Diceros bicornis minor: one gene and its partners. The protein of the gene in region 4 interacts with the protein of the main gene of each other region in a biochemical or structural test. Links are inferred from orthologs where the notes say so. Each region holds a gene or a part of one and is shown on either strand. Other genes may lie near its edges.

The links.
Region 1: of the proteins of CREBBP (region 4) and MAPK3, one has a biochemical effect on the other in vitro, tested with the Homo sapiens proteins (2 studies listed by BioGRID). The link is inferred for Diceros bicornis minor from reciprocal best matches to the Homo sapiens genes CREBBP and MAPK3.
Region 2: the proteins of CREBBP (region 4) and UBE2I form a complex in vitro, tested with the Homo sapiens proteins (2 studies listed by BioGRID, with this or other methods). The link is inferred for Diceros bicornis minor from reciprocal best matches to the Homo sapiens genes CREBBP and UBE2I.
Region 3: the proteins of CREBBP (region 4) and HOXB6 form a complex in vitro, tested with the Homo sapiens proteins (2 studies listed by BioGRID). The link is inferred for Diceros bicornis minor from reciprocal best matches to the Homo sapiens genes CREBBP and HOXB6.

The regions. Positions count from the first base shown.
Region 1 is NC_080765.1:21,907,661-21,914,914, forward strand, and holds the start of MAPK3 (mitogen-activated protein kinase 3), read right to left. Parts: upstream 3,003-7,254; coding exon 2,830-3,002; intron 1,797-2,829; coding exon 1,614-1,796; intron 1-1,613.
Region 2 is NC_080765.1:47,066,428-47,074,304, reverse strand, and holds the start of UBE2I (SUMO-conjugating enzyme UBC9), read left to right. Parts: upstream 1-4,876; 5' UTR 4,877-5,300; coding exon 5,301-5,340; intron 5,341-5,516; coding exon 5,517-5,593; intron 5,594-5,765; coding exon 5,766-5,849; intron 5,850-7,113; coding exon 7,114-7,186; intron 7,187-7,877. UniProt on the Homo sapiens protein: Accepts the ubiquitin-like proteins SUMO1, SUMO2, SUMO3, SUMO4 and SUMO1P1/SUMO5 from the UBLE1A-UBLE1B E1 complex and catalyzes their covalent attachment to other proteins with the help of an E3 ligase such as RANBP2, CBX4 and ZNF451.
Region 3 is NC_080757.1:37,377,591-37,384,259, reverse strand, and holds HOXB6 (homeobox protein Hox-B6), read right to left. Parts: upstream 2,221-6,669; coding exon 1,806-2,220; intron 771-1,805; coding exon 511-770; downstream 1-510. UniProt on the Homo sapiens protein: Sequence-specific transcription factor which is part of a developmental regulatory system that provides cells with specific positional identities on the anterior-posterior axis.
Region 4 is NC_080765.1:44,566,353-44,573,503, reverse strand, and holds the start of CREBBP (CREB-binding protein), read right to left. Parts: upstream 3,004-7,151; 5' UTR 2,789-3,003; coding exon 2,704-2,788; intron 1-2,703. UniProt on the Homo sapiens protein: Acetylates histones, giving a specific tag for transcriptional activation. Mediates acetylation of histone H3 at 'Lys-18' and 'Lys-27' (H3K18ac and H3K27ac, respectively).

The DNA of each region.
Region 1 (7,254 bases), about 23 Mb from region 4:
CAGCTGGTGACCTTGAGCAAAGCGCTTCAGTTCTGTGGTCTCAGTTTCTCTCCTGGGAAAACGGGACTAATAAAGTGGGGGAGGCAGGAGAACTGCCCAGTTAAAAGCAGTAGTTCTGGAGTTGACCTGCGTGTCTGAAACCCTGACTCCACTGCTCATGGGTTTCGTGACCTCAACCTCTCTGCACCTCGATTTCCTCATCTGTAAAGCAGGGGGAAGAACTGTTCTTTAGAGTGGTTGTGAATATTAGATGAAATGACCCGTGTAAAGCAGCCTGCCCCTGCTTGCCATGTTGTAAGCGCTCAGCAAACAAGAACTAGTACTGCTGTTATATATGCCTGAGCCACATGGCTGTTGAGGTTAAATGAAATAATGTATGAACATCATCTGGCATGTAATAAATGTTTGCTTTAAAATAAATGCCTGCCTTATGGGAATGGTTTGTGCAAGACATATGAGGAGAAACTCCCAAGAGCACACTCCTACTCAAAGAGTGCTTGGACATACATCAGAAGATAGAGGAGTAAATGTCCTTTTATATTTTAGGATAAAACAAAGATTAAACATAAATAAGTAAATAAATGTCATTTGGTTGTGTCTGGAAGAATGAGTCAGGACTGTCTTTAGAATCAGCCTTAAAAGGGCCTTCTGAGAACTGGACCAACCCTGCTGTTTTACAGATGAGAGGCCCAGCAAGATGCAGTGACTTGCTTACGGTCACACAGCAAGCTGGGGGTGAGTGTGGAGATTTCCTGCCCACAGTTTGTGGTAGGGGCTGCAGACACTGTGCTACAAATCCCCAGTCTTGGGTGGAGGACTGGGACTGACTGGGGGGGGGGGTAGGGTGTGGTGGGGGAGAGGTGGCGGGTGTTACAAAGGTGCTAACAGCCAGGCAGGAAGCGGACAATACACTAGGAAAGCGATATGGGGGGAGGGCTATGAAGGCACGGTTGTCCCTCCCTGGGCAAGGTTCAAGTCCACAGGTAATTGGGGTGGGGTTCTGAGCAGGAAGTCTCAGAGAAAGAAGGACTGGTTCTCATCTGGGGGAGGGGAGCAGGCAGCAACAGAAGCACTTGATTTTAGGCTTTCTGAGCCTCAGTGTCCTCATCTTTGAAATGGAGCTGATTGACCCATCTCATAGGGCAGTTGGGAGGTAGAATAAGAGATGTTAAAGCACTTGGCATGCACTGCACCTGACTCATAGTAGGCCCTCAAAAAAGGCCAGCTTTCTTCCTTCCAGTCTGAGGACCCAGAGAAGAATCATCATCTGTTAAACAAGAACTGACTGTGGGCAGAGGCTGGCTCCCAGCACAGAATTGCAGATGTCAGAAGACAAAGCTCCCATAGATACCATCTTGCCCAGCCCCCCACTGAGGCAGAGCGTAGAGAACAGACTTGCCCAAGGCCACACTGCATGGCTGCAGCAGGCCAGGATTCATCTGAGGCCTCCTGGTCCTCTTACACTCTGTGGCCTCTTTTCTGCTGGAAAATTTCTTTTACTGGGTTTGTTTTGGAGGGTGGTAGGGAAGAAGGAAACAGAAAGAAAGCCAATGTTCTCCCAGCCCAGCTCTGAGGCTGTGCCTGGCCAGCCATCTGGCCAAGGTGAAGGATACACATCCCTCATGGCTTCCAGGGTGGGCGCCCGCAGAATGTCTCGGATGCCAATGACATTCTCATGGTGAAAGCGCAGCAAGATCTGGATCTCCCGCAGCGTGCGCTGGCAGTAGGTCTGATGCTCGAAGGGGCTGATTTTCTTGATGGCCACTCGAGTCTTGCGCACGTGGTCGTAAGCTGAGCTGAGAGGGCCAGAGAGATGTTGTTGGTGTGGCCTTACAAAGGAGGAGTACAGGCCCGGTGGCCCCACCCAGGCCTTGGCAGGGAGAGAAGGGAGCAAGAGAGGGTTCTGGCCAAGTCATAAACAATGCTGGTTCCTTCCTGCTGTGAAGGCCTGGGATCTCCAGGGAGAAAGCTGGGGACCAGCCAGCCAGCCCTTCAGTGACTTCACAAACAGAGGAAGAGACTGACCGACCACTGGCTTCCCCTCTCCTCAACCATTTCCATTCTAGTTGCCCTGACCCGTTATCCTCCCCTGCCCAGGATGGGCTCCCTCATCCCAAGACAGGTCCAGGGGGTGGGAGATGAGTGGAGGACATACAGTGAGGCAAATACAGTGAGAAGGAGGGAGTCACAGGAGGCACTGGAGAAAAGGGATAAGGCAGGCCTGGGTGTCAGGGCGAGGGACCTGGGCAGCAGAGCTGTTCCCAGATGAACAAATGCCCAGAGCACACAGCAGGGCTGGGACAACTCCCAGAGCCCTCCTCGAAGCTGCAGGGAGGCACTCCGGGACTGCTCATTGCTCACTGGGCCCCTGGCCCCAGGCCCAAAGCCCTGCCCCACCCTGAGCCCCGCTCTTCTCTCCCAAACTCCTTGGCAGGCCTCACTGGGGGAACCAAGGCATCTTCTCCCCAAAGAAGGGTCCTTCACTCCTTCTTCACTAAGGATATTACCTCCCCAAGAATACTTACTCTCTTCGCCTCACCCCGTGTCTATAGGGTGCCCAAGGTCCCCACAGCTCCCGCACATATACGTACTCAGATGGCCCTCCTTCATTCTAGAATAGTGGGTTCAAAGCCCCCAGGCCCTCTCTCCTTCGAATACACTGCGCCCCCTCCCCCCGAAAGCACTCAGAAGCCATCGCCCCGGGACGCTCTCCAGCCCCCTGGAGCCCCTGCCTCTTCGGGACGCTCGGAGTCTCCACGGCCCAGAGAGCACTCAGCACCCCTCCCTGCCCCCTCCCGCGGGGCCCCCTCCCCCGGAACGCCCCCTCACCTGACCATGCCGTACGCGCCCTCGCCGATGTACTGCAGCTGCGTGTAGCGCGGGCCCACGTCGAACGGCTGCCCCTTCACTACCTCCACTTCCCCCGGGACCCCCGGGCCGACCCCATCAGCTCCCCGGGGCTCCCCGCCCCCGCCCCCCTGAGCCGCCGCCGCCGCCGCCATCTCCACTCCTCCCCTCCCGCCCGCCCGCCGCCCCCCCGGCGGCCCCGCCCGAGGCCCCGCCCCTTCCCGCCCGCCCTGTCACCGCGGAGCCGCGCGCGCCGGGCCCCGCCCCGCCCGCCCCCGCGCGCCCCCGCGCCCGTCACGTGGGCCCTGCGCGCCCGGCTTTCCCGCCGCTGGTGCTGTGGTTCATGGTACCCGGCGGCTCCGGCTCTTCCATTTAAGCTAGAAGCTCCCAGGGCCGCCTTGAGATTGTCCAGACCCTCCCCTAGAATGCAGAACAGCCAGTAGGGCCGCTGGGTGACCTTACCCAGAGCCACCCAGCAAGCGAGTGCTAGGACCGGGGCGCCTGGCCCCGCCCAAGGAGCAGCCCCGGGCTCGAGATGGAACCTTAAGGGAACCCTCACCTCTGATGCTCAGTGATCCTATCCGTATTTCACAGTAGCTGTGGGAGAGGGCTTCCTCACAGGTGTGGCCTGTGATGAGGAAGATGAGGCCCGAGCCGGCGCTGGTGACTTGGGAGTCACTCAGACAGCTGAGAGCTGGAGAACCCAGCCTAATGGCTTTCGGACAGAGACCTGCGGGAGTGCGCTAGGGACCTGGCCTCTGCCAGCAACCGAGCCGTGCATGTACCCCGGGAGTACCCCGAAGACAGATAACCCCACCCTACCTTTACATGGAAAGCGGGGGAGAGGCGAGAGAGCTGCATGCCAAGTTGACTGGCTTTGGTTAAAATACAGTATCAGGCTTTTCTCAAAAAGAGCAAAATAGGTTGTGGTTTTGTTGTGGTTAGATTTGACAAAACTGGAATCCTGTCAAGATCATCATCTTTTGATTCTGTACTAGACTTTATAGTTTACACAATACTTTGATCTTCAGTTTCTTCCTTAGGACAGCCCGTCAATATAGGTGTCCTCTGGTTTTCCTAGCTGGATGAGCAGGGCCCATGTCTGTTTTGTTCATTACTGTATCTTCCAGTGCCTGGCACCCAGACACTCAAAAATTTTGAATGAATCAAGTTTTATGGATGGGGAGTCAGAGTTGGGGACTCGAACTTGGGTAAGATCACTGTAATAATGACAGAGATGAGACTCAAAATGATATCTCCTGACACAGAGGCAGAGGGCTCTTTTTAATTCCATTGTCTCAGAATTATAGACTTTTAAAACTGAAGAAAGGGCCCTCAGAGACCATCCAGTCCATCCCCCTTACCTCACAGTGAAGATGTGAGCTGGAAGCTTCACAAAAACACATTTCCTAGGCTTCAGTAAGCAATCATGTTGTTTTTTTCTCCCTGAGAAGCTGGGAGTAGGTCCTTATAGACATTACAGATCAAGAGACAAAATGGAACAGTAATTATGATTCTGAAATTGCTCATAATTAGATCTATGGCCAGGCACTCTAATTCAGATTAATGAGACTGAGTTGCTGGTTCCCAATAGCCCATAAGTCAGTGAAGGTTGAAGAGGTGCTAATTAGATCAGTGTTGTTTTTTTTAGTTATTCATTTGGTAAGCTCCTGAATGGCACTGAGTGCAAAGCTCTGAGCTAGGCACTGTGGTTAATGAAAGATTACTATATAGTGTGAAATAATGGTTAACAGCAAGAGCTCTCTGGGCCAGATTGCCTGGGTTAGACTCCCATTTTTGCCGCTTACTTGCTGTGTTACCCTGGTCAGGTTACCCACTGGCCTCTCTACTCATGGAATTTCTAATCTATTGAAGAGAAAAGATGCACATACATAAATCAATTTCATACAAGATAGATGGATGTATTATATGGCATGTGAGCTCAGGGGTGGGTTAGATCACTCTAAAGAGTGAGGAGGGAGTAATGGAGGAGATGGATTTGTGTGGTTGAAAAAGAAGTAGGGTTTCAGAAGGTCAGGATAGAGGAAAGGCATCGAGAAGAAGGAACAGAATGAGCAGCAAGGAGACAGATTGAGGAAGGCCTTGGATTCTGGCGAGGAGTTTGGATGTTACTCAGTAAGCAGTACAAACCTTTGAGGGACTTTTGCCAGATCATTTTGCAACTGTGGCAGAGTATAGTGACTCAGAGAAAACACCCTGGAGTTCAGCATGGAGCCAGGTTTCCTGAGTGGGAGTGAGTTTCCCGGCATAGGAAAGGCTGGTGTATCCGGCGGGGTGCCTGCTGCCTCAGGCTGTAGCTGTCTCATCAAAGGAGTGTGACTGAGATTCCCCTCTAGTGGCTGAGATTGGTAATTCCATGGAGATTGGACTCGGATTTCCTAGTCCGCTTCATAGATTCATAAGCAACTAATGTAGACTGAACATCTGTTCTGTGCCAGGCGCTTTTATGTACTTTATCTCCTATCATCCTCGCAGCAGCTGTATGAAGTAGATACCATGAACATTTAACAGAAAACAACAACAAAAAAAGCAGAAGCTTGCTGCACTGTGGGGTTGGAAGGAGGTCTAGGAATCATTTTCTCCATCAGTTCATTACCTCACAGCTCACTGCATTGTTAGAGTTTTTCTGATGATAGAGTTTTTCCCATTTCTATTTGGCTTAGCTCCAGCCTCTGGATCTATCTAGACTAAGTTTTAAGCCAGTTCTTACCTGTGACGTCAAGTTCACAAGAGAGGCCAGTGGGTAATAACACAAGCGAGTAACAATTTGAAGGGTACAAATGAACATTCCCATTTCGACTAACTCAACTAGCCAGCAGAAACTGAGAAGGCAGCAAATGTGCAGGAATAGGGGTCAGAACATGTTTAATAATTTATTAAGATTTAAGCTGACCTTTTTTTAAAATCCAAAATACCTCTCTTACACGTTTCTCGTAACACTTCTTCATATGTTGGAGAAGAGCTCTGCGCAAACATCTCTCCTCTGGTGTAAGCATTCTTCAGCTGATCCCTCCTCTGAAATCTCTGTGGTTAGCTCTGCCTGCCCCCACTGGGCTCCTTCCCTGGGCTGTCCTTCTCACGCCTCTTTCTCTACAGCATCTCCCTTAGTCACTTCATCACATTCCTGTGGTGTCACCTTTTTCCTTTATGTAAAATCTCCATCCTTAGCCATTGCCTTTCTCCCTAGTTCCGGTTCCAAGGTTTCAGTGTTTGCTGGACAGCTTCACTTGGAGGCTAGCTGCTACATCAAATCAGCATGCCCGATGAAAGTCTTCCTTTTCATTCCCAAACCTGTTTCTCTTCCAGACTCGACTTGCTTCAGGACTGCCACCATTCTTGCAGGGTTGAACCCTGTTATTTTCTCATTTTTCCATTTCTCTCCAGATCTAGGCAACTTCTTGTCATCTTATTAACATATTTCCCAAACCCATCCCCTCTCCTATTCATCAAACCCAAATTTCATGTTTTTATTTTTTTTTTTACTTTTTAAATAATTTCAGAACTTACCAAAACGTTGCAGAAATAGTTCAAAGAATTTCTGTATGCCTTTCATCAACACCCCCTAAATGTTAACATTTTAAAGAAACACAGTACATTATTAAAATCAAGACAGTAACGTTAATAGAGTTAATCTATAGACCTTTTTCAAATTTTGCCTATTTTCCCATTAATCTCCATTTTCTGGTTCAGGATCCAATTCAAGGTCAATTGTTGCATTTAGTTGTTATGACTCCTTCATTTCCTTTGATCTAGTCTTTTTGTTGTTGTTTTTCATGACCTTGATACTTTTGAAGATTACCGGCCAGGTCAGTTATTTTATAGAAGGTTCCTCAGTTTGGGTTTGTCTGACGTTGCCTTGAGATTCCTCATCTCACTTTGCTATTGTATTATGCTATTACTATTGTACTGACTAGTCACCTTTCCTTCAGTCTTTTTCCTCCTCAGAGATGCCTAAAACAGCTCTGATGAGGTTTGTATTAAGCAGGAATCTTTCAGTAATGAGCGGTCAATGACGCAACTCAAACCAAGTTAAACCAGAAAGGAAATTTATTGGCTCACTTACTGAAAAGTTTAGAAGTAGATGTTAAGGCACACTTGGTTCCAGGGACTCAAACGATGTTATCAGGACTTTGGTCCCATCTCTGAGCTCTGCTTTCTTCTGAATTGGTTCCATTCTCAGGTGGTTCCTCTCATGGTGGCAAGATGGCTCACAGCAGTTCTAGATTCATGCCTGATTTTTTTCTGGTAACTCCATCAGGGAGTAAAGCTCATCTCTTCCTGTCTCTCTGTCTCCCTGTAACTGAAGCCCCAGATTTGACTCCCACTCATTATTGATTCTGTTTGGAGCCTGTGCAAATCCCTGAACCAATCAATGGGGGACTTGGG
Region 2 (7,877 bases), about 2.5 Mb from region 4:
GGGGGCGGCCCGACGGGAAGGTGCCGGAGGAGGCCGGGAAGGGGCAGCGTCCGCACACGGGCTCGGGGTGGATCGCAGGTCCTGACTGCGGGGGCAGGGGGTCCCGGCAGCCCACCCCCATCCCAGCTCCCCTCCCCCGCCCTCAACCCCGGCGCCCCTCCCCCCCGGCCAGCCCCGGGTTAGGGAGCGTCCACACTTCTCCTCCCGTCGGTCGGGCCGGCACTCGGCCTTCTGTGCGGGGTCAGCTCATTGGGCGAATTCGACGGACGCCCCGCCCAGGGCCCCGAACTAGCCAATTGCAAGGGGTTTCACAGGGCGTCGTACTCGGGGGATCGTCACCGTCCTGCGACGCTGCGGAGGGTCCTTAGGCCTCAGTGGTCTTTGCACCCCGGCCCTGGGCCCTAGCCCCCAGGAGATCCCCGGGCCCCGTGCCCGGAGAGGTGCCCGCGGGGCATCCGGGGAGCCCTTGGGGATCTCGGCCTTCCCTTTCCCGCGCGGCTCGCCGGCGTGTCCTCGAGTGGACGCGCGCGTCACGAAGGGGAGTTTGCAGACACTCCCTCACATCGGGGACGCGGCTCCTTTAAGGGAGCAGGTGTCTGGGGCGCCGCCTGACTGGAAAGCCTTCCCCGGGCCGGGCTCCCCGGCGGAGCCCGGGGCGCGGGCGCGCTGCGGCGGGGCGCGGGCAGCGGGCGGCGCGCAGCGGGGCGGGCAGCGCGGGGGCTCGGGGCGGCGGCGGCGGCGCGCGGGGCAGGCGCACAGCGGGCAGCCCCCGTAGGCCCCGCCCGCGCCCCGCCCGCGCGGGGTCCTCGGAGCGCTCGGGCTGCGCGCGGAGCGGGCTCGGGAGGGAAGTCCCGAGACAAAGGGAGCGCCGCCGCTGTCGCCTCGTCCGCCTCGCTTGCCGGGCCGCGGCCGCCCGAGGTGAGCACGGCCGGGGGGCGGCGGCGGCAGGCGGGCACGGGCCCTCTGCTGCCGTCGGGCCCAGCCGGGAGGGCGCCCCCTCCGCCCCCGGCCTTGCGGCCCCGACTCGCCGTCGCCGCGCGCCTGGACCCCCGCCCCGCCCCGCCCGGCAGGCCCGCGGCGCCGCGCCCGGGAGTCGGCCGGCCGGAGCAGGGAGGCCCGAGCCTGCGGCCTCGGCGGACCGCGTCCCCCCGCGCCTGGCCTGGCTCGCGTCCCGTCCCCGGATTCCCATCACTTTCCCTTTTGAAGGCGGGAGAGCGCGTGCTGGGCGGCGGCCCCGAGGGGCTCCCGGTCGCGTCCCGGAGCGCAGAGCGCCGCGGCCGCTGTTGACAGGCGCTGGGCTGGAGGGCGGCTACCGCGCCGCGGAGCCTCCACGGGGAGACTGTTTTCCGGGGTCACGGGACTGCGCGCAGACCTGTGGCGCTCTGCAGCCAGGGGACAGCGCGCGGCCCCGGTACTTGAAAGTCTTGGGTTGCAAAATCGCTGGCTCGTGGGGGGGTGGGGGTTTGATGTCTGAAAATCAAAACAAGCCTGAGTTTTCTTGCGCCTCTAAAGAGCTCCACCTGCAGTTGGTGGGACACTGAACATGGGCGCTTCGCTTCAGGGAGAGTTTTCTTTCGGAGGTTGCTTTGTACCGATTGAGCGGAGGTTGGAACTGGTAGTTACGTGAGTAGGAGGGAGGAAGGGGATGATTAGCTGGGCTCGCGATCGCGGCCTGTAGTCGCCCCGGAATCACAGTATTAGCCGGTTCGGTTTGTATAATTTGAAAATATGCTTTGTTTCTCAGTTTGGGAAGATATTGTTACTGTGTTTGCAAAGTTGGCTTTTTGTTTGTTTCCTTTTAAAGACTGTGGCCATAAATGTTTCTTGCTATTGAGGAAACACAGCCTTTGGGTTGAGAACCTATCCGACAGAAAAAGGACATGGATCCTAAGTTTGTCCTGATTTGTTTTCCGCCTTTTGGGTGGTTTAGGGGTGAATTCTGCATGCTGTTGTGCTTTTGCCCGGTGAGTCTTGTGGTTTGTGACTTTGCTTCAGAAACAGCCCAGGGTCCTGGGAATTATGTTGGGAAAGAACAAGAGATGTGCAGCTTGGACGGGAGGTCTCCTGAGTGCGAGGTGCTTGGGGCCAGGTGAAGTGAAAGCCTTCTGCTGGAATCTCCCTTGCGGAGTTTGCATTTGGGTGGGAAAGGCCCGGCTGGAGCGTGAAATCCATTATCAGTGTCACCCTGGGCAAACCTGTGAGGTCATAGTCTAGCACCCGTTTTACAGATGAGAAAGTTGAGGCTGGGGAAGATGAGCACCTTGCCATATTCATGCAGTAAGTAGCTCTGAGGTCCGTTCTGTCAGTTAGTAGAGCATGATCTGACAAGAGCAAGTTCAAGTACACCCCTCTGCCAGGCCCTGGAGGAAGGTGGAGGGCAGACTCCAGTGCTCTGCCTGAAGAACTCTAGTAGTTAGGGGATGTCTTATCTTTGTATCTTATAACTTTGCTGCTCTGAAGCATCTAGGAACACTCAACTGCTTCTTAAGTGCCTCTGTTAGTTGGGGAAGGAGTTTCCATTTCAAGTGGGATTCTGAATGAGTTGTTCTGTATTGTAATTAAAATGTAACAAATTGTCTGCTGTCTCCTGTACACCAGGAGGTGAGTGGGAGTGGAAGCATCTTGGGACCAGTCCTCTGCCTGGGACTGTGCAGGTGTGCACCTGTGGCTCTTTGTCCTGCTGACAGAACCCGTCTTGGTGATGCCAGCCCAGCTCAGACTGGGGGGCGGGGGGGTCCTTACATCTCATTTCGACAACTGCTTGTCTTGGTTACTGAACTTCTGTGTTCATTAATGCAGCAGAAGCAGCCTGCCAGCCTGTGCTGTCTGCTTTACCCTGGCTGGGGGTGAGAGGCCATTCTGTGTGTGCCCTTTCGGTGGGGGAGGCTGGGGGCAGGGGACTGGAGGACTTTGGAGGCTAGTGTGTGCTGTGCTCTCAAGCTGGGGATGGGGGTGGAGTTGGGTCATTTCATTTAGAAGAACCAGTTGAAGTGAAGGGTTTGAGAAACTTGTGGAAATGAAGGATTTTCAGACATCCAGGTTACTGCCCCAGCCTCCTGGCCTCGCGGCTAGTCATCACTGCGCACTTCTGCCCAGAGAGAGCCTTAAAGACAGGAGCTAGCTGGCGCTCTCCTCTGCCCCGGTCCTTGCAAGCTCCCCACCTCCCTGTGCAAGCCCAGGTCCTCACAGTGGCTCACCAGGCCCTCACGGTCAATGTCCAGGCGTCCTGAACCCCCTGGCCCTGCCTCTGGCCCACGGGGCCCTTCTGTTCCTGACCATCCTGCCTGGAACAGTCTCCTGCCTGATCTCTGCAGGCTGGGCTTGAGTAGCCTACCTGGCCACCATTTGAAACCAGGGTGCGTGCCTCCCCATCCCTGTGGTCCTGCTGTGGACCTCGGGCACCTGGTGTTTCCCAGGACAAGACTTCCTCTTGTGTGAGCCCCCAGGGCAGCAATGCGCGTCTTGTTCTCAGCTGCTGGCCCCGATTTTACGTAGCGGGAAGGAGTGACTATTCCAGATGGAGACGTGCTGTCCAGGGAAGGAGACCCCGGGTGGGCGTGAGCTTTGGGCAGCCCAGTCACATACCGCATGGGAGGTGGGCAGACTAGAACCCTGGGATCGAGTGGCGGTGAAGAGAAATTCTATTGGGTGCAAGCTTGATGTTATCTATTTCATACTTAATCTTGAGGTCAGGTAAGATCAGAGTCTTTGTAAAGGCGCGTTGTGGGGTCACAGTGTGGAGCTGGAGGCCGTGCCCCCAGTGGGTGCGTCTGTCACGTGTGGCCCCGGCAGCTGTGCTTCCTGACTGGAGGGCTTTGATTTTTGACCGTCACTTTTCCTTATGATGACATAAGCATGCATGTTTCTTGAAAGCGCACCACGTCTGGTTGGTCTGGCGGTTTGTGGTAACTCGCCCCACTTCCTGAGACTTGGGCTCCTGGGTGGCACGGCAATGGCGATCCCAGACCCCCTCCTTCCACTTTGCTGACTTCTCGGGAGCTGCCCAGAACCCAGAGCGCTGGCAGCCCCGAGTTCCTGACTCGGGGTGGGGGGGGCATCGGGCATGTGCATTTCTTACAAGCATCCAGGTGATGCCCCCGCCCAGGGCCACACTCAGAAGGGGCTGTACTGCAGGGTAGCAAGGCGTGGCCCGTCTGGCCTGCTGCTGACCTGTTGACTTGACCCCTCCTGCACAAACAGGGGCTGTTTGAGTTGTCTGGGGCCCAGGGCCGGGCAGCCAGGTGGGGGATGGCGGGGAGAATGGTGCGATTTGGATTGCTGAGGCAGTTGTGGGTCAGCCTGCGCCGCAGTGGGGAGGCCGCATGAGTAATCACAGGAGGGGGAGTCGGGGGCAGGGGGCGATGCAGCGGGTGTCTTCAATGTTTCCACGGACTTGGGAGATCAGCAAACACAGGGTCAGGTTCTTGGGCAAGCTTTGTGACCTCTGAAGGTCTGCTGTGCCTTGCTGGCTATCCAGCGCCCTGAGATGCTGCTTTACCTGCGGGAAGCATGAGACAGTGCAGGCTGAGGGCTTCTGGGCTGCTGATTTGAACGGCTGAAGGCGCTGAGCCTCCAGGGTCTGTAGTCGAGGGGCTCGGGGCGTGATGGGGGGAGCCCCCTCCACACGGTGCACTGGCGGGGGCGGGTGGGCCTGCCTGCTGAGGTGTCTCCCCTTCCGCCTTGTGCTCCCTGCTAGCTGGCTCCCCCTTGCGTTGACTTCCCCAAAGTAAATGGGAGACAGGCCTTGATCTGTTCGTTGTTTGTGGGGCGCCAGCAGGTCCTAGGTGGGGCTGTAGGATGTGAGAGTGGAGGGAGAAGAGGAAGGAGCCTGGGGCCCTGGTGACAAGGGGAGTCTCTTGGATGCTGGTGGGCAGGTGTGCCATCTCTGTACTTGTCCATAACTCAGTTGAACTGCTCTCTGCCCCACTGGCACATTTCCGCTGCATTGCCTTTCAAGAATAAGGGTTATTCTCCTGGCTGCGCCCAAATCTGAATTCTGAGCCCCTGATTCTGAGCTGGGGGCCTGACAGCGCCCCCACATCCCTGTACAGGCAGAGGCGAGCACGCCATCACTGCCCCTCCTGGGTCTCGGGCTAGTGCTCTGGACACCCCTACCTTGTCCCTGCTGTTTCTGCGGAGTCTGATGGTGGAATTGTAATCCCTGTTACTCTGGCCCACTGCCGCATGTGACTGAAGAGGGCAGGACAGGTGTGCAGGTGTCTGTTGGGAGTGCCCAGTGTCCCCTCCCCCGCAGCACCTAGCAGCTGTGTGGCTTCACCTCTCTGAACCTCTGTGTCACCATGAAATGGAGTCCACGGCGTGTGCCGTGGAGCCCTGGAGGTGAGATGTACACAGGGAAGGTGCCCCACATGGAGGTGTTCCAGGAGGCCTGGGTCTTGGGAGCGGCCAGCTGCTGCTTCCCTGGCTGCCGGGGGCGGGTGGGGCCAGTTGTCAGGTGAAGAGACAGGGAAGCAGGTTTGCCTTTCCTAATCGCACCCTCTGCCCATCTCTTCCAGGGACTTTGAATATGTCGGGGATCGCCCTCAGCAGACTCGCCCAAGAGAGGAAAGCTTGGAGAAAAGACCACCCATTTGTAAGGAAAGCTTTATTTCTGTGTGCAACGCAGTGGACGGGGCCTGCCCGAAGGGGCCTCCCGGACGGGGGCCGTTGCCTCCGCGCTGGCAGGCGGTGGGGCCGCAGGCTTGTCCGTGTGCGCGTAGAGTGAGGCGGCGTGGCTGATGTGCTTGTGTGGTGTTTTCTCCCAGGGTTTTGTGGCTGTCCCGACAAAAAACCCCGACGGCACGATGAACCTCATGAACTGGGAGTGTGCCATTCCAGGAAAGAAAGGGGTAAGAGGCCCGTGGCTCATGTCCTCTGCCACTTGTCGGCTTCTAGCAGCAGGACAGAGGGACAGAAGTCCTTCAGAAGGACTTGTGTTTGAGTGCATGTGACATTCCTGATGCTCATGCGAGCCCCGGGGGGATGTGAGATGGGGAACGAACGAGGGTAGGGTGACATGTAACCCCTCACGTGTGGGGAGGTGCCCCACCAGCTGCATCTCGGGAGCAGAAGGAGCCTTGGAGGTGGGATGGAGACTGGTCTGGAGGAGCCCGAGGGCCTTCGGGCTTGTCCTGCCGGACCTGCTGGGGCTGCAGCTGCCCAGACATAGTGATGCTCCTTCTGGGGCGTCTCTGAGCCTGGGGCAGCTGCAGATCCTGTGATGCAGAGGCCAGGCATCAGCCACTGGAGAGGGCTGCGTGGGCCCCTGCATGTCCTTCACACACTGGCCAGTCCTCCCTGTGGGGCTGCCTCCTCGGCTCCCCTGAGTGCACCCGGCCCAGTTAGGACCCGCACGCTTGAAGCATTTGGGAGTGAGGGTCTCTGATGACCTTGCGTATAGTTCTGCCTGGGTGACTCCGGAGGAGGAGGCCCCCGAGGTGTCTGGGTTATGCTGGAGGCGTCATCACCTCCATTTCCTCCCACCCGTGGTCTGTTGTGAGATCACGAGAGCTCAGCCTCAGTGCTTCCTGATAGTGTCCCCACCCCCTGCACTAAGCCGGTGGATTAGGACTCGGCTTTGTCCGTGAGGTGACGTGGTTTGGGTTTATCCTTCGTCTGAGGTTGTTGAGCGCCCAGCACGCACCCAGCGTTTGCCGAGACCATTCCTGGCCCCTCATCTTAGGGCAAGGCAGGTGTGCTGCGGCCGTCTCCCTCCTGGGGGAGGTTGGAAAGGGGTAGTGGATGGTGGCGCTGGGAGGCTGCCCAGGGACAGGTGGGACCTGAGGGAGGGGCCTCTCAGAATGCCCCTCTAGGGGAAGGGGTACGCAGTAGAGTTCCCTCAAGTCCTCACCCTGTCCCGGGGTGGGAGGAGCCAGCCCGCCAGGGGCCCTGCCTTCTCAGAAGCCCGGCTGCTGCCCTGCCCCGCTCCAAGGAGAGCTCTTTCCGACTCAGTCTAAGGGCTCATGGAGGTCCTGACAGTCCTGTTTGTGGAACAGTTGGGCTGCTCCCCTCTCTCTGGGGTCCTCGTGGTCCTAGGGGGTGTGCAGCAAAAGCAAGCCCCTCCTCCTGGGCCTGGCCGGCAGCACATTTAATCGCAGTCTTATTTCCCAACAGACTCCATGGGAAGGAGGGTTGTTTAAACTGCGGATGCTTTTCAAAGACGATTATCCATCCTCACCACCAAAATGTAAGTAGACTGAAGTCTTTGAAAGTCAGTCTGCTGTGGCCACGTTCCAGCAGAAATCTGAAGTCCTCTTCAAAGAGCTCAGGCCTCCTGGGGTGTTGGTTATGTCACACTCTGCTCCACGTGGGGCGGCTCCAGGGCCTTTGATCCCTGTGGCTGGCTATGGATTTGAGTCTGTTTCTAGCCCCGGGGGTGCGAGGGGCATGGAACAGGCTAGTCCCAGATCCCAGCTCTAACCCACTGGGAAGCTCCTGGGCCCTTAATGTACCAGCCTAGATAGGGACGGATGTGTAAAAGCACCACCGTCTAGAACTTCACCACTCGGAGGGTTTTGTTTGCCCTGACCTGTTACCAGCCTGCCTGTTGTCTGTTAGAACTTCCCACCCAGCTCATGGCTGCATCTGCAGCCTGGAGGGAGGGTGCACATAAGCCCCCAGAGAAGGCAGCAGGGAGAAAAGGCCAAGCTGGTTTAATGTGCTACTGCCAGACTGTCCTGACGCAGTTCAGCAAACCTCAGGCGGGGCGGGGCACCAAATCCCTACCCTTTTGTAGCTGGAAATCAACATACGTTGTCCGTGGCTGGTTAATTAGATGAGTTAACATGTGCCCCAGCGCGTGGGCAACAGGCGGTGGCGTGGTGAGGCTCTGTGTGAAGGCTTGCCCTAGTGGTCAGTGATTCGGGAGGCAGAGGTAC
Region 3 (6,669 bases), on a different chromosome or scaffold from region 4:
GAACTTTGTTTTCTTCTGAGGCTCCTCTTCTTACTTCTAGGTAGTATGTGCTCCTTCCAGTGGCTTTGGGGAGGGGGTGGGAGAGAGGTCTGGGGTCAGGGAGTCTTCGAGGCCCCCGCTGAGGGGACTGTGAATCTACCATTGAACCGTGCACGGGGTACATGGACGAAATGAGACGCGACACGGACAAGAGTATTTTGCTCTGCTTCCAGAAAACATCAAGTGAGTTCGGTCCTCAGTTCTCACGGGGAGTCTGATCGGGCGGAGGCGGGTTCCGCGGGGATGGAGGGGGTGAGCCGGGTGCTGGGTGGGCTCAGGCGCACCGCCTCCCAGCCCCCAGCGAGAGCTCTGCGGGCGGGGGCGTCCAGGAGAGCGCTGGGCCCCGCCTGACATGCGCTGGAGAGCAGGTCCCCGGGCTCCCCCACCCGCAGAGCCTTCTCCGGGCTCTCCGATGCCCTCGGCTCCCCACAGGCCTCTCCCTTTCGCGTCCCCCCTCCCTTTCCAGCGCCTTCACTCGGCTGGTTTTTCTTCCTCCTCCTCGGCACTGAGCTGAGATGCGCTGAGCAGTTTGCTCTCCTTTTTCCACTTCATGCGCCGGTTCTGGAACCAGATCTTGATCTGCCGCTCAGTCAGGCACAGGGCGTGCGCGATCTCGATGCGCCGCCGCCGCGTCAGGTAGCGATTGTAGTGAAACTCTTTCTCCAGCTCCAGCGTCTGGTAGCGCGTGTAGGTCTGGCGGCCACGCCGGCCGCTGGGCCCAAAGGAGGAACCTGTTACGCAGAGAGGAGATGCTGAGGCCTGGGGTCACCAGGGCCAGAGCCCCCCACCCCCACTCAACCCTCAAACACGGACGCTAGCCTGTCTCGGGATGCCCTCCACTGTCTGGTTCCCTGCCCCCCGTCCTCACTCCTCCAGCGCCCCCTCCAGATTCCCTCCGGGTCTCCTAGGCCTGCGCATCCAGTCTAGACTCTCGATGGGGGGATGGGAGGAGCAGTTTAAAATCCCACCTGAGCCTGGGGGAGGGGCTGGGGAAGTACTGGCCAGGTGTGTCTCTTCCTAGCCGCATCCTTTTTTCCCATCCATCTGGCTCCCCCACTACCCTGTGATAGATTCCGGCCCTTAATCCGTAATGACGTGGATCGATCCGTAGTCGGCATTAACGGCTCTTCACTTTGGTGTCCCTCTAATGGACATCAATTTGGGACTTAAGGCCGACAAATAATCCAACTTGAGACTCAGGCGCCTGCTGCTTCCTCTCTCCCCCTCCGCCTGCTCCCTCTCTCTTTCTTCCCCTTATTCTGCCTCCCTCCTCTGACTACCACCCTTTTCCTGGTGCCTCATCTTTCCCCAGCCCCCGACCCCCAGGGAAACACAGTCCGGGACAGACTCAACTCTCTCTCGCCAGCGTCACGCCGCCCCCTTCCCATGAAGCACTCCGGTTTTAATGGAACAGTCTTTGGGTGGGGGACCCGACTAGGGCTGGGGGCGCAAGGGAAAGCCAAGCCCGTGACGGCAGCCCCTGCCCCCTTCCCTGACCCGGAATCCCGCTCTGGTCTGACGCTCCCAGAGAGCCCACTCGCTCCCCCTGGCTCCGAGTGCAGCTGGGACTTTGCAAACTTTGTAACTCCTGAAGGCGAGAGGACAGAGCAGGAGACCCTGTGCAGGCACCCAGTCTTCGCTTGGCTCCTAACTGAGATGCCCACCCAGCACCCTGGGGGAGAAGGGGGGCGGGGGACATCCCTAGCCCTGTCTCCCGGAGGTGGAGACCCGCGGGGGTCTGGGCGACGGCGGGAAGTCTCACTCACTGTTGCACGAATTCATCCGCTGCATCCACGGGTAGACCGGAGTGGAGCACTTCTGCTCCTCGGTCTCGCCGAACACGCTCTTGTCCTGCGCACAGTCGGACTTCCGCGGCTCGGGGTGGAACGGGGGCGGCTCGTCGGCGCCTGAGAGCGCGCAGGCCGACTCCTTCTCGCGGTAGAAGGCCGGCGCCGGCCCGTAGTCGCAGGGCGCCGCTCGGCCGTAGCCGCCGCCAGCCGGCGGGTAATAGGAGGAAGCGGCAAAGCCCTTGTCCTGGCCGGGCCCGGGCCCGTAGGGCGCAGGGTAGTGCCTCAGCGGGTCCGCATAGCCCGACGAGTAGAGCGGTAGCTGGCCCAGGAAGGACTCCTGCCCGCTGGCCAGAGTGACGGGGAAGGTGGAGTTCACGAAATAGGAACTCATTGGGAGGGGAGGCGCGCACGGCCGCTGCTGCTCCGCCGGGTTTATGATTTGTTGTGTTTTATAGTCCGAGCGCCGCGCCTATTAGTAGTATATCTGAGATTGGGTTTTAGCTGAGGGGGGATGGCGAGGTGCCAGTGAGGGCCAGAAGGAAATACAACCATCTGATCCAACACTGACCAATGGCAGAGGCAGGAATTGTCAAATAGCACCCAGGAGGAGCGCAGCCCGCACGAGGGACCCGCGCACAAACCTATCAACCTTTTTTTTCCTCCTTCTTCTCCTTCTCCTTTCTCTCTCTCCCCAACAACACGACGCTTCCTGTTCCACCTACGTAGGATCTGCGAAAGAGGCGTCTGTGCCTTTGAGGGAGGAGGAAGCATTTGGATGGAGACCACCCCATCCCCCAGTGATTAAATAAATATATCCCTCCCCTCCCCACGCAGGATAGGAAAAAGTTAATTGTGTTTTCAGAAAAGTTAACCCCTGCGTTGCTTGAGCCCCATTCCCTCAAGGGAAGGGTGAGTAAATGTCACCGAATCTCGAATCTCAGTCTCATTAAGAGAGGACTAAAGGAGAAGGTTTATTTCTCCGGTTTTGTGTTGGTAGAGGGAAGAAGAGTTCTCCGCTAATTGGCATCGTTTTCAGAAAGAGAAAGCCAAAGAAGAAACACTCTTTCTCAGGTTTTGAAAACCGTTTTTCTTGATTGTCAGACCTGCTCTGTCTCCTCCAAGCCGGGGTTTATTATTCCTGCTTCTCCACAACTCTTAGGGTCTGAGGGGCAGGCCAGAGCCTGCTGCCCAGAGGACCCAAGGCCGGGAAATGGAAAGAAGGTCTGAGCCCCAGCTTCTCCCTCTGGCTCTGCAGCTAGGCTAGGAGCTTCCTGGAAGACTAAGGCTGCCGCTGCCCGAGACACCCTGCCTGGCTCTAGTATGTACCGCTTGCTCCTGGCACGGGAAGGGGCACTGGGGAAAGGGACTAACTGTCTCCTCACTGGGGGATATGGAAAGGAGGAGTGAGGGGCATCCCCCAGCCTAGGTTTGTCTCATCCCTATCCTGTCTGCAACCCCCACTCGACCCCTGCCTCCTACCCCAAAAGACATGAGTATCCTGGGCTACAGATTCACAGAAATCAAGGTTGTCTCAGTAAGTGGGTCCAGGGAAGAAATTGTTCCTCCAATTTGGGGTCCTCAAACCCTCCTGATATTTGAGGCAATGAGAGACCACCGAAAAGAGAGGTGTTCGCACTCCTTTTCCAGATCTCTCCAGAAGCTGGCAGTTTTTAGAATTAATTTTCCACGATTTGATGTTGGTTTAGTCTTATAAGGAGGGAGGGATGTTTGGGTCCTCCTGGGGACTCAGCAGGCAGCATCCCCTATCAGCCTGCATCCCCTCTCCAGATGCTCACCACCCTTCTGGCTGTCTCTCAGCATCTCTACAATCCCTCCCACACCCCTTGTTTGTATCACCAGCTTTGCTTCGGTACAAGCTTGGGTGTGAGAGTGTATGTCTCTGGAGCTCTCTCTCCAGCACTCACTCTCTCTCATCTAAGGAAATGGAGTATTGAAGCCTGGCTGGAAGACTGACCTACAATGTGTATTCAACATTCTCATATGCACGTTGAGGCCAGGCAGTAAAGAGTGACAACCTTCGGACTTGGAGCCAGGAATGGTCCAGGGTGTGGGACAAAGTCTGATGATGAAAGGGTTAGGCTGACTCTCTGTCTTTGGGCTCCTTTTTGTGGGCCACCTCTGTCCACTGAACACAGCACAAGACACTAGGGAAAGTGGTGGAGAGCTGAGACTGGTGACCAAGGGTGGAAACTTGCAAAGTGGCCTACAAGGCTCGCTGAACTCAGGACAACTTCTAGGCTGCAACTTCATGGCCAGGTGGCGATCCCTGGATATCCCATCGACCGCTTCCTAGCCTGATTCTATGGGGGGTTTTAATCAAGATTTAGGAAAATAAACCTCGAGACTCCTAATGATGGAAAATCATAAATGCTCCAATCTAACAGATTGGGCTCACTCCTAGAGAGGAATGGGGAATATTTGGGCAGGGGAGTAAGGTGGGGAGAGTGCCTATGTGCACCTCCCTTCTCTCTGCCACTGAGGATGAGCCTCGGGCCTCAGCCCTCCTTGCCTCCTCCCTGGCCACAGTGTCCCCATCCTAGGACTGGACCCTGTGGGCTTTGCTGTGGAGTCTAGATGAAGTAAGATGCGGTGAGGGAGGGAGCCTTCCTCTGTGATAGAAGCACAAAAATACTCACCTTATCCTTAGAGTCACCACACCAAATTAACCTCACCTCTGCAGGTTGCCTGTCTTAAGACAGAGCCGAAAAGGCAGGGCCTGGGCGCCTGGAGTCCGGCATGAAAGGAAATAGCGCCTCATCGCTCTTATCTAAGCCCAGAGGTATTTATGAGCGTTTATTCGTCTGATCCGTTTGTTTGGGAGAAAGAGCAAGCAGGCGGGGCCCGGACAGAGGCCGCCTGGTTTCTGGAGCCAGATCTCTACGAATCTGTCTGTGGTTCGGTCCACTGCCGTCTGTCTGTCTCCAGGGGGGAATATGTAAATACACAGCAGGCACAGCCGTCTGTCGGTCTGGGGGCTCTCTCCCTGCCTCAATGAGGAAGTGTGTATGGAGAGGTGGATATAAATGTGTGCTGAGTCTTGAGTACACAAGAGAAGGATTGTACAGAAACCCCACAGGCAGGATTTATAATTGTAATTTTCTGTACTTCGGGTCTGCGGTCCTGTGATGTACACACATCGCAGCTCCCAGGGAAATGTCCAAGTTGTATCAGCTCAGGAGTGGAACTCTCCTGTTCGGCTAACCTCAAGGAGGGATCTCTCCCTGTATGTTTATGGAGGGGAGAGGGATTGAGACATTTTCCAGGCGTCCCATTTCCTCCCAGCTACAAAGCTCCCCCCACCCCCAGCTCTTTGGGTTAAGGGCAACTTCCCCTTCCTCACTCCCAACTCTGGCTGGGGTGGGGCAAATTAAAACATCTCAACCTAATTCTTCGCCTGGACTCTGTGATTCTCTGGGTTTGGGGAACATAATATTCCCAGAGGGAGCAGTGTGGCTGCTCCCAACCTTTGGGAGCTGTTTAGGTGGGACATTGGCTTGAAATTGTCCGGTCCAAAGCTCCTCACAAAGACCTCATTTCCATTATGCAAATGAATGGCATAGTCTCTGATCTTGAGGGGGGAGTGGCCGGTGGCGCGGCTTCCTCTCCCGGTTCCCTCCCCCAGGTCCACGGGCACCCTAAGAGCCCTGAAGTATTTCAACCCTTTCTACCAGCCGCCTTCCCCTCCCTACCTGTCCTTCGGATTGACCACAAGAAAAAAATCTCCGAGGGGCCCAAGACTTTCGGGGCGCGCTCCCTGGGGACCTCCCGCACTGGGCCGGGCTTTCAAGCCGCCAGAAAGTCACTCTCGCTGCCGAAAAGCTGAAAGGGCTGCTTCTGCGGCCCAGACTCAGGAGGCGCCGAAGGCTCGGGGGCAGACGCCGCCGCATTTGCCCCCAGCACCGCCGGGCCCCTCGACCTCCGCAGCTCCTCCAGCTCCGGGCCAGATCCTAGTAACACCTCGGCTTGCCTGGCACCGCAGGCAATTTCCTGGAGCCCCCGCCCAGGAACCGGGGCCACAGCACCTTGAAAAGAGCGGCCAGAGCTTCCTCCTGTGGCTTGAAAGCCCGAGCTAATCAGTAACCCGTGAGACAGGGGCCAATATTCAAACGCCGCGGCAGAGGCGCGCACCCCGCCCTCGCCACCCCCTTCTGGGAAAGCGGTCGGGTTAAGCTGGTGTGAGGGGTCCGGCAGGAACTGAAATAACAATGGTTTGGTTTCCTAATGATTGATCTCCACTCCTACTCCCAATTTTTTCCCAAAGCATATTTGTGTCGATTTTGCTTGAAACGATCGGGAATGGGGGGTGGGATCCACACTCACTTGCAGACACCCACAGTTTCCAGAAAGCTCGGCTCGATTCCTTCATCGCGGACTCACCGGCCAAGGAACTGGCAAGACCCACCAGCCAACCCGGAGAACACAGACCCGGTTTGTCTTTTGACAACCGAGTGGAACTGCTGAGGCCGGCGCCTCCCCTACTGGCCCCCTCCCATGGCCGAGAAGAAAACCAAATAAACCTTGAACAGCCTTGGCCTCGGATCTCCCCAGCGGTCCGGATGATCCTCTCTCGCGCCTGGGGTGCGGGGGAGGAAGGGCTCACGGCTCTGATCCCCCATCCCTTTGATTCAGGGCCCCCTGCCCGCGGGATGCAGTGTTAGTCCTCTTTAAATACGCCCTGGAAAAAGCCGCTTCCTCAGCCAGCCGCCAGGTTGGGAGCAGGGATGAGGAGGCCGAGGGAGAGGGGACACTTGTTCTCTAATCCACACACGGGCGGTCGGGAACCAAGATCCAGCGGAAAGCGACCATCTGGGCCTGAAAT
Region 4 (7,151 bases):
CCCATCTGTCATAGGTGGCAATGGCATTTATCACTTGGAGATGCCACCTTGTCTCACTGGAGTATTTTATGCACATCCACACTCCCCCAGCCAGCTAGACTGCAAGTGCCCTGTAGGCAGCACCCTGGCTGGTAAGCTCCCCAACGTCAGGTTCTCCTCTCCGCCCACTACCAGCCTCCCTAGCCTCATCTAAATGACACCCATGGCTCCACAGGCCAGTCCCCACAGATGTGTACCGCATAGTGGCAGTCCAAGTCACTCTTGTTTATCAGGCCAGCAAGGCCTCCTCCTCCTCACCCCTCAGCTCTTCCCATGCACGGAGCTCCCCTCCCTCAAATTTTATCACATGAGCAGGGAACACACCTTGTGCCACCTGGCCCAATTTTCTCCTCGAAGCCTCAAACACACATTCCCTCAGTAAAACAAAGCTGAGTCTCTTAAGAACTTTATTCCCAGGTCTTTCCTTACCTTCCCATACAACCAAATGCCTTCACTCCTTTGACTGTATGAAATTTAATCCTTTAGTTCTTTATTTGCTTAATATACACGCTTAAGATCTCTGTCTTAGACTAGTAGTTACGTGAGACAAGGCTGTACCTTATTTAATGTGCTCGACCATGATCCTTTCTTTGCTAACAGACCTAACAGACACTAACAGACCCTTTCACAATAACCCTCTCATGTTGTTGATGAACATGTAATCAAGTACGGGACATAAATATGATCGTGAATTTTATTCTTTGGATTATTTAAATCAGAACTATTAAAAACTGACTTTTCTGTTCCACATTTGGAAAAGTAAAAGAGCCCCCATGCCTTACGAGGGTTAAAATCGTAAAGGAAGGGAAAAAAATGGTCAAGGGTGGAAAATCCTTTCTGATAAACTTGGTTGCGATTAGCAGCACATTAAGTAAATATCTGACCATCCAATAACAGAACTACCCAAAGGCCATCCTTTGGGCTCCATCTTGGAAACAGTTGGATATACAGCTGGACAAGCCTTTGCGTTAAGTCTGTGTTACTAATTTGTCCCTCTTTCAAAAGCTACAGTAACCTCACTCAACAAGAGCAAACTGCAAAGCCATTCAAAAGTGACCAGTTCAGAGGACAGGTTTCAAAGCTGAACTTGCCTGGTATGATCTATGTTTCATTTGATTAAAGACTTTTCACTCAAACATGGCAAGATTAACGAAGCAATGGAGATCTGTTCTGCAGTAAGAGGACATTTACATCATGGTTGTTTCCATATTTCTCACTTCAGATAAGTTGATTTTACCAAATTAACAAACTCAACTCCATTAGTTTTCAAAAAAAGAGTATTAGTGACTTTCATATATCATGAGCTTTATTTACTCCTCCCCCGTTTAACAAACTTTATTTTAACTAGACAAGAATCTCTTTATGATCGATTTGTAAAAAAAAAAGTTTCTCTCACTTCTACATTAATATTCAAGGAACTGTATTAAAACTTAAGTCAAAAAATTCAAGTTTTGTTTCAACAGTAGAAACATTTTTAGACTACTCATAGGAGTACGCTAGTGGTCAGTCATACAAATATTTGCACGAGCTGAACAGCTGTGTCTACTACAAATCTGAAGGCACTGCTGCAGGAATATAATTCAATTTGGGCCCATTCATTAAATTTTCAGATGCTGCTACTACAAGACTGTACTGAAGAAATGCAAGCTGCGCTGGAGACCGAATTGTTCGCAGCAGCGCACAAGTTTTTACTGCAAAGGAGAGCTCTAAAAGAGGAAATACAACTTGTTCATAATGCTACCATGAACCAGCCCAGAAGAAGCCAGAATTACTAAATGAATAGAAAACTAAAATATTTCTCTTAGGCAACTGATATGATTACCTAAGAAAGTTTTCAGGGAAACTGTTTAATGAAGAAAAGGATGACATTCACTATCCTGCTAAATTTTTTTTTGAAAACTCGTAATCACTACATTCCTTAACATAATTTTTTGTACACCTACACTGTAAAAGCAACAGGAGCTCAAACGGCGACTGCAACCCAAACGAATCTATTTAACTTTCTTTTCAAGTTATACACGTGAAATTACACACACTACAGCCACTCTTATGACATCTTGCTAACAAAGTTTGGGGTGGTGAAAAATGGCATGACTTAGGTGACCAAACAACAAGAGCCTTTCAATTAGCTACTAAGCATTTTTCCAAGGAGAACATTCCAAGAAACTTCTAAGTCGTAACTCACAGGCGGGCTGCTGCTCTGAGTGTCTTCTGGCCGCCGCGTAGTGGATGTGTTACCAATTCAGAAAACCCTTCGGGTCCCCTTTCGGCTGCACTTTCTGTCTCTAACCATCAAACGTACCCTCCGCTGTCATCCCTCCAGACGCCCGGCCACGCGTGTGTCGACACACGGCGGCAGAAGGAGGCGGATGGAATCGCCACGCTCCACTTTACTTTTCTCCCTGCAAGTACCACTCGGTCTCCCCGCGAGGCTCTCCAAGAAATCCGAGTGCACCGGGCATGTGCCGCCCCACTCGGGCCCCACGACAGTCTCCCCGCAAACTTCCCCCTCTCAGGCGGGGGTCCCGGGAAGGGGCTGCGCCGGCCTCCGCTTCGGGGGTTCCGCACGCCCGCCGCCGAGTTCGGGTCTCCGCAGGCACTCCCCTCCCGGGGGGCCGACAGCGACCCCCGGGGCCCCTGCCCCCCGCCCGGCCTCCTCCTCACCTGTGCTGTCATTCGCCGAGAAGCCGGGCGAGCTGAGTTTGGCTCGTTTGGGGTTGGGCGGTCCGTCCAGCAAGTTCTCGGCCATTTTCACCTGCTCGCGAAAACAGCCCCGAGCGCGGGCGGCGGGGCCGGCGAGGCTCCGGGGCGGGGGTCGGCGCCGGCCCCGGCCGGCTGCGAGGGGAGAGCAGCGAGCGCGAGCCTGGAGCCGCGAGCCGCGAGCCAGCGAGCGCCGAGGGAGAGGGAGGGCGCAGGGCCGGGTGGGGGAGGCGGCGGCCAAATCTCAGCCACAGCAACAGCGCCCCGCAGCGCTCACCGCCCGCCCCCGGCCGCCGCCGCCGCCGCCGCCGCCGGCCGCGGCCCCCTCATCCCCTGCCCGCCTCCCGAGCGCGACACTCCGCGGCGGGGGCGCCCTGGCGGCCCGGCCGCCGCCCCGGGCCCGGCTGGCAGCGACGGCGCCCGGCCGGGCGGCTCAGGCAGTTCCCGGGAACATGGTGCCGCCGCCGCGCCGCCGCCTCGCTCCCCCCCCGCGCCCCACTTAATTAATTCGCTCGCGGCCCGACGACCCGGGGGCTCCGGGCTCCGCTCCCCGCCCGCGGCCCGCCGCCGCCGCCGCCGCCGCCGCCGCGAGGAAAAACAATGCGCGAAGCGGGGGCGCCGCCGCCGCGGCCCCCCCACCCCCCGTTCCGCCGCCGCCGCTGCCGCCGCCGCCGCCGCCGCCGCCGCCGCGGCTCCGGGAGGCCGAGCCGAGAGGCGAGCGGGGCCGCCGGAGCGGGCGCCGAGGGCCGGGCGGAGCGGGCCGGCCGGGCGGAGCGGGGTGCGCGGGCGGTTGTGGGGCCCGGGACCGGCGGGGCCGAGTAGATCGCGCTCGAAGCCCCGGTCGGGTCCGCGACAAGATGGCGGCTGTTGATTCCTCAATTAAAAAAAAAAGAAAGTTTTTTTTCTTCTCTTTCCAGAGCCTGAACGGGGAGGGGGAGGGGGCGGGGCACGCCGGTGCGTCACCCCCCCGCGGCGTCACCACGCACGGCCCCCGCCCCGCCCCCTCCACCTGCGCCGGCCGCGGCGGAAAGAGCCGAGCGCGCTCGGGCGGAAAGGGCCGAAGGCGCGACCGCTGTGCGTGGGGCGGCCGGGCGGTAGCCCGGCCTGCGAGACCCTGAGCGCCCAACCCGGCCGTCACTTTTGTTCTGACGGCGACTGGGCTGCGGGGCCCGGCGAGGGCCATGGGCGGCGGCCTGGCCGGGGGCCGGGCTCCAGGCGCGGAGTCGGTGCCGGCTGGGCCCCCCCGTCCCTCGGGGGCGACTCTGCCCGGTCCCAGCTCCTCATGTCCCTGCTAGCGACGTCGGAGGCGACCCGGGCCCGGCCTGGCCACTTCCCCTCGCCGGAGGCCAGCGACGTGTCGTGTCCTCTGCAGGTCACAGACCGCCCTCGGGTCCGCCTGCGAGCGTGTGGAGATGGGGAAACTGAGGCAGGAAGTGGCAGGGCCGGGATTCGAATACTCCCCCTCAAGTGAAGTGTAGGGGACGCAGGACTCCTGAGCCCCTGTTCACCAGCCCCATGCGATGGGGCCCCCAGGCCCGACACCCTCTCCTGCAAGGGGAAGGGGCGAGCGCTGCCCCCCGGGCTGGGGCGCGGTCACCTGCGCCGGGCCTAGAGGGCCCCTTACGTCAGCGCGGAGGGCCTCGCTGGCCTGCGCGCGCTCCTGCTCCGCCCCCCGCAGGTGCCCCAGACAGGTGTGGGTCCCGGGGAGATCGGCTCGCATGGCCACTCCCCGCAAGACGGTTCCACAAAACTCTAAGATGTTCACATCTCAGCTTGTTATCTGCTCCTCAAAGCGTGCCGGAGCTTCATCCCTAAGTCCTTATCTGAAAGGTATCACCAGCAACCCGGTTCCTAAGCAAGAAACCTGTACGGGAGTGCGGACTCCTCCCTCCCTCCATCACCTCGCACCCAGGCTCCCCACGTCCTCTACCTGGGAAACGGCCCTTCCTCCCCATCCCACTACACCCGAGTCGTCCGGCATCGCCCGGGTGGCTACGGTGGCAGCTTCCAACTTCAGTGTCCCTTGCGCTCCACGTTTCTCCCCATGCAGCACCAGAGTTAACTTCCTGGAAAAAGAGAGAAAGAACTCTGTTTAAAACAAATAGCTCCTACACATGGGGAAAAAAAGACTATATATATATAGTCTGTTTAAAAAAAAAAACCATATGTATAGTCTGTTTATATACCAAAAGAGTGATTGTCTTCAAGTGTCAAGACTGAGTGATCTTTCTACTTTTTTGTATTTATCTATATTGTTCAAAATCTTGTACTGCCCACCCCTCCTTCCCAGCATCTGTCTCTTCCACTTTCCATCCCTCACTCCACCATCACTCCTCCACAACCACTCAGCCACTGGGAAGTTCTTATCATTCAGGCCTTTTTATGCTTTTGCAAATGCTGTTCCCTGTACTGAGAATACATATGCCTGGAAAACTCTGACTCATCCTCCAGGACCCAGTTCAAATGTCACCTACTGCAGGAAGCCCTCCTAGCCCACTTCAGGACTCCCACAGCATTCTGGACAGACCTCTGTGAGGGCACACCTCACACTTTGTCACTTTTTTTTCAATCCATTCATGTTTTTATTTATCCATCAAATATCCCTTGAGAATCTCCTGAGGGCAAAGAATAAAGAAAGAAATCCCTGTATATTCAAGGAGGCCAAATGGCAAGCCCTGGAAATCATAAACAGAAGTATTCAAGAAGCCAGTTTGCACAGGAAGGCGGGAAATGTATCAAGTCATAGAGTAACACAGGGCTGGCAGCACCTTGTATCTGAATGTGCCGTGTGTGTCCCTGTCACCACCAGTCTGTGGGCCCCTTGAGGGCAAGGGCCATATCTTAGACATAGTACAGTGCCCCTCAAGAAGTAGGTTTGGGGCCAGCCTGTTGGCGCAAGCAGTTGGGAGCGCAAGTGGTTGGGAGCGCACGCTCCACTTCCGCTGCCTGGGGTTCACAGGTTCGGATCCCGGGCGCGCACCAACGCACCACTTGTCGGGCCATGCTGTGGCGGCGTCCCATATAAAGTAGAGGAAGATGGGCACAGATGTTAGCTCAGGGCCAATCTTCCTCAAGAAAAAAGGGGAAGATTGGCATCGGATGTTAGCTCAGGGCTAGTCCTCCTCACAACAAAAAAAGAAGTAGGTTTGTAAAATTTGATGAATCAATGAGTGAATGAACAATGTCAGGTCTCCCTAAGTCCTAGAGGCCTCCAGGTCACTGAGAAGGGTGAGTTCCAGCCTAAGGCAGCTCCATGCCACTCCCACAGAGAGGACGATGTGTCAGGTCACCGAAGCCTGCCTTGGGTCACCACCTGGCCCTCGGGGTCCCTCGGTAAATGGTTTACACAGCCATGTGCACATGAGCTCACACCATCCCCCATCAGTGGGCAGCTATGGCACATGTCATGTCCACTTTTACAAAGGGAGAAACTGAGGAGACCCAGTCCCAATGACTCAGAGGTAAATGACCTGGACATGTCAGGGCCAGGCCTGAAACACAGGTCTACAAACTCGAAACCTCATGTTCTTCCTGCTCAACCCTAAAACATACCTGCTCTGCTGTCCCTTTTCTGTCTCATTTGTATCATTTTGATCAGTTCTGCTGGTATTTCCTGATATCTGCTTTTTCTTTCCTGTTTCTTCTCCCCTTGGTGTGACTCTCATCCAAGAACGCTGTGCTCAGACATTGATGGGGGAATAGCAAGAAAGGAAGGATGATTCCTGCCCGCACACTCTTAGCTGAGGATCAGGGTCAAAACAGATGAAAGGGACCTGGCACTGTTGAGTGCCTTCTGTGTGCCAGGACACTCTGCCACACTTGGATCTGCATTTCCCACAATCCTGGAAGGAAATATTGTCCTCATTTTATAGATGAGGAAATGAGGCCCAGAGGAGGGCAAGTCGCTCAGTCACTAAGAGGCTCACCTGGGTTGCAAACCTAAGGCTGCCTGCTCTTTCTAGTCTCTAGTCTCAGATCAATGAATCCCCATTTACAGAATGCTCGGGGGCCGAGAGAATGAGGCGAGGAGGGACCAGCAGAGGAGCAAGAGGTGGAGATAAATCAGGAAAGATTTCCTGAGAGAAGTCCATTTGAATCCATCAGCTGATGAATGGATAGACGTGTTATATCCACACAATGGAATATTATTCAGCCATACAAGGAATGAAGTACATGCTATGACATGGATGAACCTTAAAAATGTGATGCTCACTGAAGGAAAACAGCCATCCAAGACCACATATTGTGTGATTCCATTTCTAGAAAATGTCCAGAAGAGGCAAATCCACAGAGACAGAAACCAGATGAGTGGTTGCCGGGGCGGGAGGGGTGACGGGGGTGGAGATAGTGGATGGTAGCCAAAGGATATAGGGTTTCTATTTGGGGTGATGAGATGTTCTAAATTGATGGTG